Linked DNA regions of Ovis aries. The protein of the gene in region 1 binds, or shares a complex with, the protein of each later gene. Links are inferred from orthologs where the notes say so. Each region holds a gene or a part of one and is shown on either strand. Other genes may lie near its edges.

Evidence for each region. Proteins that work in one complex are often made in the same cells at the same time.
Region 2: the proteins of TOMM5 (region 1) and PINK1 are in contact, whole or in part, in a cryo-EM structure (PDB 9EII), measured with the Homo sapiens proteins. The link is inferred for Ovis aries from reciprocal best matches to the Homo sapiens genes TOMM5 and PINK1. Residues at the interface, in NP_001001790.1 of Homo sapiens: Met1, Phe2, Arg3, Ile4, Gly6, Leu7, Ala8, Lys10, Leu11, Asp12, Pro13, Glu14, Met16, Lys17, Arg18; in NP_115785.1 of Homo sapiens: Gln484, Ala488, Gln491, Ser495, Lys496, Pro498, Val502, Lys520, Leu522, Lys523, Leu524, Met527, Glu565, Cys568, Gln569, Ala571, Leu572, Leu573, Cys575, Ser576, Trp577, Ala579, Ala580.
Region 3: the proteins of TOMM5 (region 1) and VDAC2 are in contact, whole or in part, in a cryo-EM structure (PDB 9EII), measured with the Homo sapiens proteins. The link is inferred for Ovis aries from reciprocal best matches to the Homo sapiens genes TOMM5 and VDAC2. Residues at the interface, in NP_001001790.1 of Homo sapiens: Ile25, Arg29, Leu32, Ile33, Ala36, Arg39, Val40, Phe43, Ile44, Lys47; in NP_001171752.1 of Homo sapiens: Val38, Thr60, Gly63, Asp239, Tyr258, Gln260, Thr261, Leu262, Leu268, Leu270, Val286, Leu288.

The regions. Positions count from the first base shown.
Region 1 is NC_056055.1:51,176,006-51,180,285, reverse strand, and holds the start of TOMM5 (mitochondrial import receptor subunit TOM5 homolog), read right to left. Parts: upstream 2,807-4,280; 5' UTR 2,724-2,806; coding exon 2,603-2,723; intron 1-2,602.
Region 2 is NC_056055.1:245,716,903-245,720,417, forward strand, and holds part of PINK1 (serine/threonine-protein kinase PINK1, mitochondrial), read right to left. Parts: intron 2,811-3,515; coding exon 2,683-2,810; intron 2,347-2,682; coding exon 2,110-2,346; intron 1,194-2,109; coding exon 927-1,193; 3' UTR 1-926. UniProt on the Homo sapiens protein: Serine/threonine-protein kinase which acts as a sensor of mitochondrial damage and protects against mitochondrial dysfunction during cellular stress.
Region 3 is NC_056078.1:30,190,378-30,193,892, reverse strand, and holds part of VDAC2 (voltage-dependent anion-selective channel protein 2), read right to left. Parts: intron 587-3,515; coding exon 434-586; intron 342-433; coding exon 289-341; intron 1-288. UniProt on the Homo sapiens protein: Non-selective voltage-gated ion channel that mediates the transport of anions and cations through the mitochondrion outer membrane and plasma membrane.

The DNA.
Region 1 (4,280 bases):
TCACTAAAAAAAAAACACATTTGAAAGGCAGAGAGTGGGGGAAAACACTGAAGTAGGGATCCAGAAAGCTAGACACATATGTTCGTTCCCCCACTGATTAGTCATATATTATTTGTGTGCTTCAGTTCACATCTGATACAGTCCTATTTCAGTTATTATGAGTAGAGTGGTGTAGATAGAAATGTCTAGCACACAAGGAAGTGCTGTCATAGGGATCTAAAGAAGTGATATTTTTGTCTTGTGTAACAGTGCTGTGGCCAAAATAAGCATGGGAAAAGATGCTCAGCATCATTAATCATTAGAGAAATGCAAAACAAAACTACAGTGAGATATCACTTCACACCCACGAGGATGGCTACTGTCAAAAAACTTGGCAAGGATGTGGGAAAATGGTACTCTTGTACCCTGTTGCTAAGAGTATAAAAATGGTATTGCTGCTATGGAACACAGTATAGTGGTTCCTTAAAAAAAAAAAAAGGGATGAGGGGTGCTGCCAGCAGCTAGGAGGAGCAAGGAATGGGGAATTACTGTGTAACAGCTATAGAGTCCAGTTTTACGAAAGAAAAAGTGTTCCGGAGATGGTGGTGATGATTACACAATATTATTAATGCATTTAATACATTAAATACTTAAAACCCCAATTCTTATCAGAAAAAAAAGTAACAGTCATCCAAAGAATGGATCAACTGTGGTATATCCATACAATGGAATAGTATTTGGCAATAAAAAGGAAATACTGATACATGCTACAGTATGGACAAACCTTGAAAACATTATGCTAGACATGGTCATATACTGTACAGTTCCATTTATAAAAAGTATCTGGAATAGGGAAACCTCTAAAGACAAAAAGTCCCTTAGTGGTTGCCAGGGGCTAGGGAAGGGGGAAAATGGGAGAATGACACCTAATGGGCATGGTGTTTCTTTCAGAAGGGAAGAAAATGTTTTAAAATAGATTGTGGTGATGGTTGCACAACTCTTGACTACACAAAGAACCAATGAACTGTATACTTTAAATGGGTTAAGTGGATAACATGCAAATTACATCTCAATTTAAAAAGTGGTAAGGCTTCCCTCGGGGCTCAGAGGTTAAAGTGTCTGCCTGCAATGCGGGAGACCTGGGTTCAATCCCTAGGTTGGGAAGATCCCCTGGAGAAGGAAATGGCAACCCACTCCAGTATTCTTGCCTGGAGAATCCCATGAACGCAGGAGCCTGGTGGGCTCACAAAGAGTCGGACACGACTGAGCGACTTCACTGTCACTTTCAAGGATCAGTATTCTCTTTTGTTTTGTTTTTAAACTGATTCGTCTCAAACACAAAGGTCATTGAAAAGCAGCAAATGTTTCACTGGCAACTAAGTCAACCAAAAAAAAAGGCAAGAGGAGGAAATTAGTCAAGTTGAGAGTTGCAAGCTGTTGAAGGAGCAAAATGACGGTAGTTTCCGTTTTCCAAGGGCTCCCTCTCCTGGGGAAGCAGAGTAACACCACACACAGTGAAGGACAGAGTAAAAGAGACCCGACCTCAAGAACTCTGGCCTTAGGCCTAACATGAGCCTTACACAAGATGACCGTGGTATGGTCGCCATTTATCTGAATCAACTCTTCCTCTCTATCCAGACCTATCAATAATACAGAACAAGGAACAATGAAAAAGTATACTGAACTAGAAATCTAGCAACAGGGGCAATTCACTTCTGAGATTCCTATCAGTAAAACCAGAGCACTGATCTATAAAACTGTATCTAGCTCCAGTACTGTGTGCCTATAATTCTACTACTTGGCGAAAGTCCCTTCTGAAAATGGAGTTCTTATTTGCAAAGAGGATATACAGAGACTTAGGCCAAAATCAGGCAATGCAAATATTTTCTACCAAACGTAAAAATCAAATAAATGTTCAGGTATTACCATTAACTCTATCGATCCTTTCTTCTTCTAAAAAAAAAAAAAAGAAAAAGTAATCACCTATTTCACTCTCTTTACAAATAAAAGGAACAAAATCTAGATTTTAAAGGTTAGCACTAATGGAAGGAAACTTGGCAGTCAGTTAAGAACTCTCGATTCTAGGTCAAGATCATTCACTGAATCGCTGAATGACCTTGAGCCAGCTATTGCTCCACTCTAGATACCAGCTTTTCTGTTTGCAAAACGAGGGGCTTGCTCCTGGGGATTAAGTTAGTTTTGTTTAGTTGCCAAGTCTCATCCGACTCTTTGCGACCCCATATACTTTAGCTCTCTGTCCATGTGACTTCCCAGGCAAGAATACTGGAGTGGGTTCCCATATCCTTCTCCAAGGGATCTTCGCGACCCCAGGGATCGCACCCGCAAACCTTAGAGGCTCTTTCAACTCAATCGTCCTTAAGGAGGGGCTGAGTGATTAACCTCGTGGTCCGGCTCGCCGCGTGCACTTGGTACCCCCACCCTGACCCGTAAATCCTAAGCCTTGCCCGCTTGCGCCCGCCGCCCTCAGCGTGCACAGCTCTTGTTCCTCACAACTGCTTAGCTCTTGCTCCAAGGCCCCCACAAGGCCGGTGGGACCAGAGCCGGGTGGGCAGGTGGCGGCGAGCTCCCTGCGTCTCGCGGCCACAGCCCGGAGGGTACTTACTGACTCGCAACAGGGCCACATAGATGAGGAAGTTCCGTATGGAGGAGATCACATCCTCGCGCATCTTCCGTTTCATCTCCTCTGGGTCCAGCTTCGGCGCAAGGCCTTCGATCCGGAACATCTCAGCTCTCGCTAACGGCTCCCAGCTGCCAACCTCTCGGATCTTCTCCGCAGCCTCCCGGCGCCCGGAATTCGGCCCAACCCATTTCCTGTTCCCGCCCCTCATTTTTACGCGTGGCGACGAGAGCCTGCGAAGGACAAACTTCCTCCTTAAATTGAGCTGTTCTGAAGGAGGGTGGCCTGAAGAGGGTGCTCGCAGTCTTAGCGACGCAGGACTCCTGTTCTTCCAGGCCTTTTGTTTAACAACCTCTGTCCTGAACCGGGTGCGCGTAGCTGAAGGGGGAGGAGGTGTGCATAGGTACCATCATAAATAGTAATAGTACGGAATACTCAGTACAGTGCTACCCCATGAATTTGATGTTATAATCTTCATTTCCTAGATGAGAAAACTGACGCACAGAGATCTTTAAAACAACAGCTTGCCCAAATGTGTTTTAAAATACCTCGGAGCGGGGGAAGTGTTGGGAGAGATGAAAGGATATTAGCAAAATACTGAAAATTACTTAAGCTGGTGATAGTGTATCACTTTAGTTAATCCCGGCCTTCTATTTTGAGTATTTTTGAACTTTTTAATGATAAATAAAAGATAAAAATGATGAAACTTGCTCAAGATTACACAACTGATTAGTTGCTGAGCAGGGTTTTACACCTAGTTAGACTGGTAGGATCCCAGACACAGAGTGTTTAACATTTTCCATATTATTGTTGTCTTCTCATTTCTGGAGTTAACCGATCATCAAATTATGGTATTGGTCCAATACCATAATTTGATAGTATTGTCAAAGTATAGTATTGGACCAATAATAACTTATATATGAATCAAGTTTATATCTGTTCAACATCTTACAGATTTACAGATTACGGGAGAGGCTTAGAAACCACCAGTATTAAAGTCGGTCTGCTGGTGATGGACAGAGACAAGGTTCTAATGCAAATAATTATAATGTCAAGTTGAATTCTCTTTCCTGTGAACTCTGTTGTTCCTCTGTTAGTCGTATTAGCCATTAGCTGCTTAGATGGACATCTCTGGGGCCAGAAGGAAGGAATTTAATGCAGCCAGATTTCCTGTCGAAGAATCATCAAACAGTTGTTAGAAGGATGCTGCCCCAAATTATGCACGCCAATCAGCCATATATATAATTCTTAGACACGAACCAGATGACTGAACTGGTCACATATTTCAAAACCAGAATGCTCCTTCTTCAGTGTGCTATGCACAATGCATAGTGACAGTGGATTTTAGATGAATTAGAACAAGAATTTAACTATCGGAGGAACTGATAACTCTAAGTGTTGCCGACCGACCACCTTCCTGATTGACAGAATGGGTCGAGAAAGGGAACTCATCTGCCTATTTAGGCTTTAGTAATTTCTTGCATCTATAATTCATGCAATGGAAGAGCAGAGGCAGCTCTGAAATGGGAGGGGCTGACTCCCAAGGAAGAGCTCCACCTCACCCTTTGAGAGTGTTTAGAAAGCCTGCAGTGATGCTGGAAAGTAGCAGGTGCTGTGGAAAGAGCTTGAACCGGAAGACTGGAGACATAGCCTTCAGATCTGG
Region 2 (3,515 bases), about 190 Mb from region 1:
CGAGCTCTGCGGCGATGCTTGTCACCAGCACCCAGGGCTGCTCTGGGACAGATGACTGACTGCAGCGGCTCCCGTCTCGGGCCTCACTCACGTGCTGTTCACTCTGACACCTGACTGTCCTGACCTGCGTGAACTCTGGCCACAGCACAGGTCTGACCTTCCTCAGCTCAGCCTCACCTAACAGAGCCGCTCGGCCACTGACTTTTCAGAGGTCGAGGAGGACAGGACTCTGGTCAGTGGTTTATGCCTGAGCAGCCTCTCGCCTAGGACAGAGCTCATCCTTTGGATCTGTGTGCCCAGGGCATCACGTGGGCAGTGCTGATGCACAAAGGAGCCTGGTAACTGGCTAGCATTTCTCTTGAGGGTTAGGCCCTTTGCGGTCAGTTAGACCGGGGGTTGGCAAACTTGGTCTGTGGGCCGGTCTGGCTTGCTGCCTGATTTTTGCAGGCCTGCAAGCTAAAAAATGGTTTTTACCTTTTAAGTGGTTGAAAAAATTAAGAATATGTAGTGACACACGAAATTCCAAATCTCAGGGTCCCTAAGTGAAGCTGAACTTGTTCACACATTGAAGGCTGTCTTTGCGCCATGATGGCAGAGCTGAGTAGCTGCGAAAGCCTGAGCACTAGCCAAAGTTTGCTGACCTCTATTGAGAGCAGTGTCTTCATTTCACAGGTAAGAGAACTTGGATGATGCATCAGAATCACACAGCTAGGCAAAATCACACAGCTAGAGCGAGTTAGTGATTAGACCGTGACCTCGAGCTGCTCCTTCCATCTCCCAAACCTGAGGCCTTCTCTTTGCTGACTCGCCCTCCCTGTGCCATCTTTCCTCCTGACTCCCCCATCCCCTCACCTAGGAGGCACTTGCTCAGCATTCACAGACCATCACGACACAGATACTGGAAAGTTCTTTTAGTAATTCACCAGCTACAGCAGCTGTCTCGGGGCCGCCCTCCAGGAGTCGAGGAGGAGGGCCGCCTGGCTCAGCGCTTCATACTCCAGGTTGGCCAGAAACAGCATCTTCATTTTCGTTTCCACACAGTTCTCCGTCAGTCTGTTGGCCAGCAGAGTGGCGGCCGATTGTTGGAGGAGCCAGCCAATCATCTCGTCTGGTTTCAGGTTCTTCAGGGCGAGCGTGTGTTCACCCCAGAGGCTTAAGTGAAGCACGTTAGCAGCCACTCGGGCGGATGGCCTCTGCAACAGGAAGGGGAGCCGGAGCTGAGAGCACCTGTGACGGTCTTCACCCACAGCCCGCTTTCAGTGCAGCCTGTTTCAGGGTCTTCCCTTCTCTGGCCCTGAGCATGCTCTTCACCCTCCCTCCTGCAGTACTCTGCACACACACTGGCCGATTCTACCCACGCCCCAGGCTTTCCCATGGGTACGAATTTGGGGTGGGGTGGAGTATGGGTAGAGGACATTGTTGGAATAGCCTCCCCATCCTGGGCCTTTTTTTAAATTAAGGTTTTTTTCGCCATGCAGCATGGCATATGTGATCTTAGTTGCCCAACCAGGGATCGAACCTGTGTCCCCTGCATCGGAATCTTGGGAGGCCACCACTGGACTGTCTAGGGTGAGGGGAGTTGTCCTAACTTCATGACGGCAGTGCACACATGTGACAGCCTGCTGCCCGTGGTGAGGGGCAAGCGGTAGGGCGGGCCTGTGGGCCCTGGTCTGCCCGTGCTTTTCCACTCCACATGCCACCTGCACTGGCCCTGCCACTCCTTTTAAGGTTTCAAATGTGTTAGCCTTTGGAGTAATTTCAAAATGTCCAGATCTCTTAGAAGAGTTCATCCTATCTATCTGGTTAGATCTCAGCTGATTCTATATCTTCATTAAACATATCTTAAAACTGCATCTGTTTCCCTCTGAGTAACTTTAAGCAACTAAAGCCAAGAGGAGTTGACTGCTGGAATCCTGACTCCAAACTTGGTGGCCAGCTCCCCTGCTCCTATCTATATTCCAGCCTGTTGTGTGTTCTGTATGTGGCTATCACCTCTGTAAGATAGAGGAGCCGTTTTTCACTCCGGTGCCTGCCCAGCCCTGCCCTTTACTCTAGAACACGACCTGAGGTTCCCATCCACACGCCCCCTGTAAGCCTGAACTGCCTCACCTTGCAAGCCTCCCGCTGCAGCAGCGACCTCACCAGGCACCTCACGTCCCACGGCACCCACTCGGGCAGTGCTGGCAGCTGAGCCTCCTGGTAACTGCGGCTTTCAAGGTGGGCCCTGCCCTGGCCATAAAAGGGATTGGGGAGCCCAAAGATTTCATAGGCGAGTGCGCCCACCGCCCAGGCATCCGCCTTGCTGTAGTCGATCACTGCCCTGGGGCCAGGGCAGGCCGTGGACACCTGCTCGGAAAGCAACAAGTGAACAGTCACACTGCTGGCACTTGAAACCTGTTTGTGCTCCTGCACGGCCCCCGATTCATGCACTAGCCTGGACTCTGTCCCAAGGAACCCAGAACTGGAACGAGCTGTAGCTCAGGTCCAAGCCAGTGTGCTCAGGCTGCCCACTTCAGGCTGGCAAAACGCATCTCTCCTGGGACTTCAGTTCCAGGCGGAGAGGCAGGGAGAGGACTTCTGACAAATTACGGGTCAGAAAAGATGAAAGGGTTGAGTAAACAGAGAGGAGACCTGGTGGGAGAGGCTCTGCTGGTGGCACGTGACACGCTCAGTGGGACTCACCTCAGGAGCCATCAGGCAGCCATTTCCGCCGCGGTCCACGTACCAGCTGGTGAAAGGCAACTGCAGGCCGACGCGCTCATCAGCCAAGCAGCAGCCAAAGTCTGTGATCACCAACCAGGGGCAGCCGTCTGTGGGGAGACATGCAGACGTGAGAGGCCGTCTCCTCTCCTCCCTGCACCTCGAGGCCCTCTGATACCTCCACTAAAGCCACCCTCAGGACACGCTGACCCAGGAACAGACTACTGCACAGCTGCACTCATCTCACATGCTAGCAACGTAATGCCAAAATTCTCCAAGCCAGGTTCCAATAGCAAGTGAACTGAGAACCCCCAGATGTTCAAGCTGGATTTAGAAAAGGCAGAGGAACCAGAGGTCAAACTGCCAACATCTGTTGGATCATCAAGAAAGCAAGAGGATTCCAGAAAAACATCTACTTCCGCTTCACTGACTACACTAAAGCCTTTGACTGTGCGGACCACAACAAACTGGAAAATTCTTCCATAGAAGAATGGGAATACCAGACCACCTGACCTGCCTCCTGAGAAACCTGTATGCAGGTCAAGAAGCAACAGCGAGAACCAGACATGGAACAACAGAGTGATTCAAAATTGGGAGAGGAGTACATCAAGGCTATATATTATCACCCTGCTTATTTAACTTATATGCAGAGTACATCATGAGAAACGCTGGACTGGAAGAAACACAAGCTGGAATCAAGACTGCCGGGAGAAATATCAATAACCTCAGATAAGCAGATGACACCACCCTTATGGCAGAAAGTGAAGAAGAACTAAAGAGCCTTTTGATGAAGGAAGAGAGTGAAAAAGCTACCT
Region 3 (3,515 bases), on another chromosome or scaffold:
TGAACTAAAAGACAAAGGCACTTGGGGTGACTAGATTGCCACTACTATAGGAAGAATGCTTTGCAGAGTTGCTATCAGTCACAAAAACCTATTTAAAAAAATGTTCATTCCAAGTTAGTGGCACAGTGATAAAAGGCAAATAGCTGAAGGCAAGCCAAGAACCATACTGCTCATGCTCCAAAGGCAGAAACAGAAACTTGCCAACACATAGCACCTGAATGTGTACCTTTCCTTAAATACACTGAAGAAAGCTTTAAACTTAAAGCAGATAAAAATGCCCATGCTTACCCTGTGTTTGGTGAAAAGGTGGTATCAAATGTCAGTTTCAAACCTTGGCAAATCTATTTCAAGAGAAAAAGAATTTTTTTTCAGTTTATTTCCTTTTTGAAACACAAAAATAAAATAATACTAAACCACATTTTCAAAATGTTACCTGGTCTTCAATAGCGATTTCTGTTCCCAGAGTGTTATCAGTGTTCCACTTTTCTGTGAAAGTCAGACCATACTCACACCATTTATATTTGGTCTCCAAGGTCCCAGTAACTTTACCAGTGTCTGTATTAGATGAACCAGATGTCGAGAATTCCTAACAAGACAATAAAAAAGTTCAGAAACTTTCTCGTAAGCCTGCAATGATACACTTTCTAACTTACACAAACCCCACTGAAACCCTTAGTAATTCACTAATCCCTTTTTCTAGCTTCCCAAACACTCCTAACCCTCTGCTACTGAGTAAATACAAGAGTGACAAACTAGCTTGTTAATTACTACCATCTTGTTACTGCTGACATTTTCAACCAACAGATCAAAAGTTACTTGAATATGATTCTCAAGTGAACAACAAACTATAAAGTTTTTAAGGAAATTCCTGCTAAAGTGATCCTGAGTTAAAAAAAAAAAATCAGTGGGGGGAGAGGGATAGTGAATGGGTATTTTAGAACTGCTTCCAATCTACCAGATAGTCAATGAAAACACTAACTAGGTCAGCATGGCTAATCATACACTCCCTCCATTAAAATCAGTTTACACACAATTTACTATGAAATGGTCCCTGAAATTCCCTAAAAGGAAAGCACTCCACTGAAAGAATCTATGACACAAAGTTTTTAATTCTTTGGTAACCTCAATATTCTGTTTTTCTGCCACAGTCTTCATCAGGTTCTATGCCTTTCCAATCACCTTTCACATTTTCCAAAAAAAAAAAAATTGGTGGAAGGAAATTCCCTTTAACTGGTTCATATCATCTATAATATAAACTATACTCTGTAGAACAGATGATCACTGGAGAAAAATCTGTGCAGTGACTGATTTGAGATATATCATATAATCTTCTGTTTGTAGCAAATATAAATAACTTGCCAATCCCTAACTGTACACCAACTGAAAAGGAAGATATAATATGGAAAGAGCTTATCTGAAATTTAAAATCTGCTACAGATAATCCAGAAATCTAATCTTTATGAGCTTAGTATACAGGCAAGCAGTTGAACTCTTCGAACATAAAATATTAAAATGCCTTGAGGGTTCTAATTTGACTACCAATGTTATACTCTATATGGGAAAGCCAAATTTAAAAACGGCTGATATGAACTTTTTAGAGATAAGAAGAGAATTTCAACCTGAAATTGTGATACTTGCAGAATGCGGAAATATCCAAAGCTGTATCCATTGGAGAAAAGACCAATCATCTTTCACTTACAAAACATCATTTGTGTAACTGCTGCTCTGCAGTGACACAGACTCAATTCTTCAGGTCATATATACTATATAAGAGTCTTACACATTGTCTCCTGAAATTAGATGCTTTCATCAATAGAAACTGAGTCAAAACTCGGCGCTCAATGCCCATAGTAAAAAGCACCAGATTGTGTTAGCAAATAACACTGGATATAAAATTAGGAGTCCTGATATCAAGTTCTGGCTGGCATTTACTAAATGAGTAACACTAAGGAAGACACTTTTCCGGGTCTCAGTTATCGCAACTTTAAAAAGTTTAAGCCTCCTATCTCTGGAGGATTAAATAGGTCTGATTTTGTCAAAGTTTTGCATATATTCACGTGCTCTACACAAAAGGATATTAAAAACCATATTAAAAAGCAGAGACATTACTTTGCCAACAAAGGTCCATCTAGTCAAGGTTATGGTTTTTCCAGTGGTCATGTATGGATGTGAGAGTTGGACTCTAAAGAAAGCTGAATGCAGAAGAATTGATGCATTTGAACTGTGGTGTTGGAGAAGACTCTTGAGAGCCCCTTGGACTGCAGAAGATCCAACCAGTCCATCTTAAAGGAGATCAGTCCTGGGTGTTCATTGGAAGGACTGATGTTGAAGCTGATGTGAAGAGCTGACTCATTTGAAAAGACCCTGATGCTGGGAAAGATTGAGGGCAAGAGAAGAAGGGGGCAACAGAGGATGAGATGGTTGGACGGCATCACCAACTCAATGGACATGGGTTTGGGTGAACTCCGGGAGTTGGTGATGGACAGGGAGGCCTGGCGTGCTGCAGTTCATGGGGTCGCAAAGAGTCAGACACGATTGAATGACTGAACTGAACACAAAAGGAATGCATTATGAAAACAATATAAAATACATTCCTGTCCACAGTAAACCTTTCCTTTCAAACAAAGATTTTGATTTATCAAACAATCTAGTACTAGATATACTGCTCTGATTATTCCCCAGTTTAAAGCTGATTTTGTCCCTTCAGCCAGCAAGTAAAATCTTAAACACTAGAACTGAATCTTCTACTTTTTTTAAGAAGGGCTTTGTGTTTCAGCAACTTATTTAAAAGGGGCCAACAAGTCAGAAGAGTGAACACAAACAAACACCAAGTCACTGCTCTCTGTAACCTGTTACCCTGGGCTAGTAAGTCACTCACCCACACTGAATACTCAGGCCTCCTTTCTGACCAAAGAAACCAAACAGATGTGACCAATATAAAACCCAAGAAATCCAAATCTAGGCATTAAGAAACTACAAAATTATTAATTTAAGTAAATACCAATTGCACTAAGTGCACTAAATATACTAAGGGAGTTAACTATAGAAATAATTTATCAAAATAATAACATTCAATATGCACACACTATACCCATCCCCTAAAGAATCTAAAAAAATTTTTAGGAGGAAAAAAAATTACAAAAAATATAGTTTTACTTTACTCTCTTTGAGGGAGTTTGTTAGGTAGAATCAAGACATCCAAATATAAAAATATTAACCTCTTTAAAAATACTCAAATTTAAGACTCTCTAAATTCACAAAATACAAGTGGAAATTTCCCCCCAAGGAGGGCTGCTAGATTATGACCATTATATAAATAATTAGTACACTCAAATTAAGAGTTATTGAGTATGTTTATGCCCAGGACTCTTAAGTATTTTTCCTTTTTTCAAAAGATATTTATTTATCTATTCATTTGCCTGTGTTGGGTCTCAGCTGCAGCATACAAGACCCTTTTTTTGGTTACAGCATGTGGAATCCTTTAATTGTAGCATGTGGGATCTAGTTCCCTGACC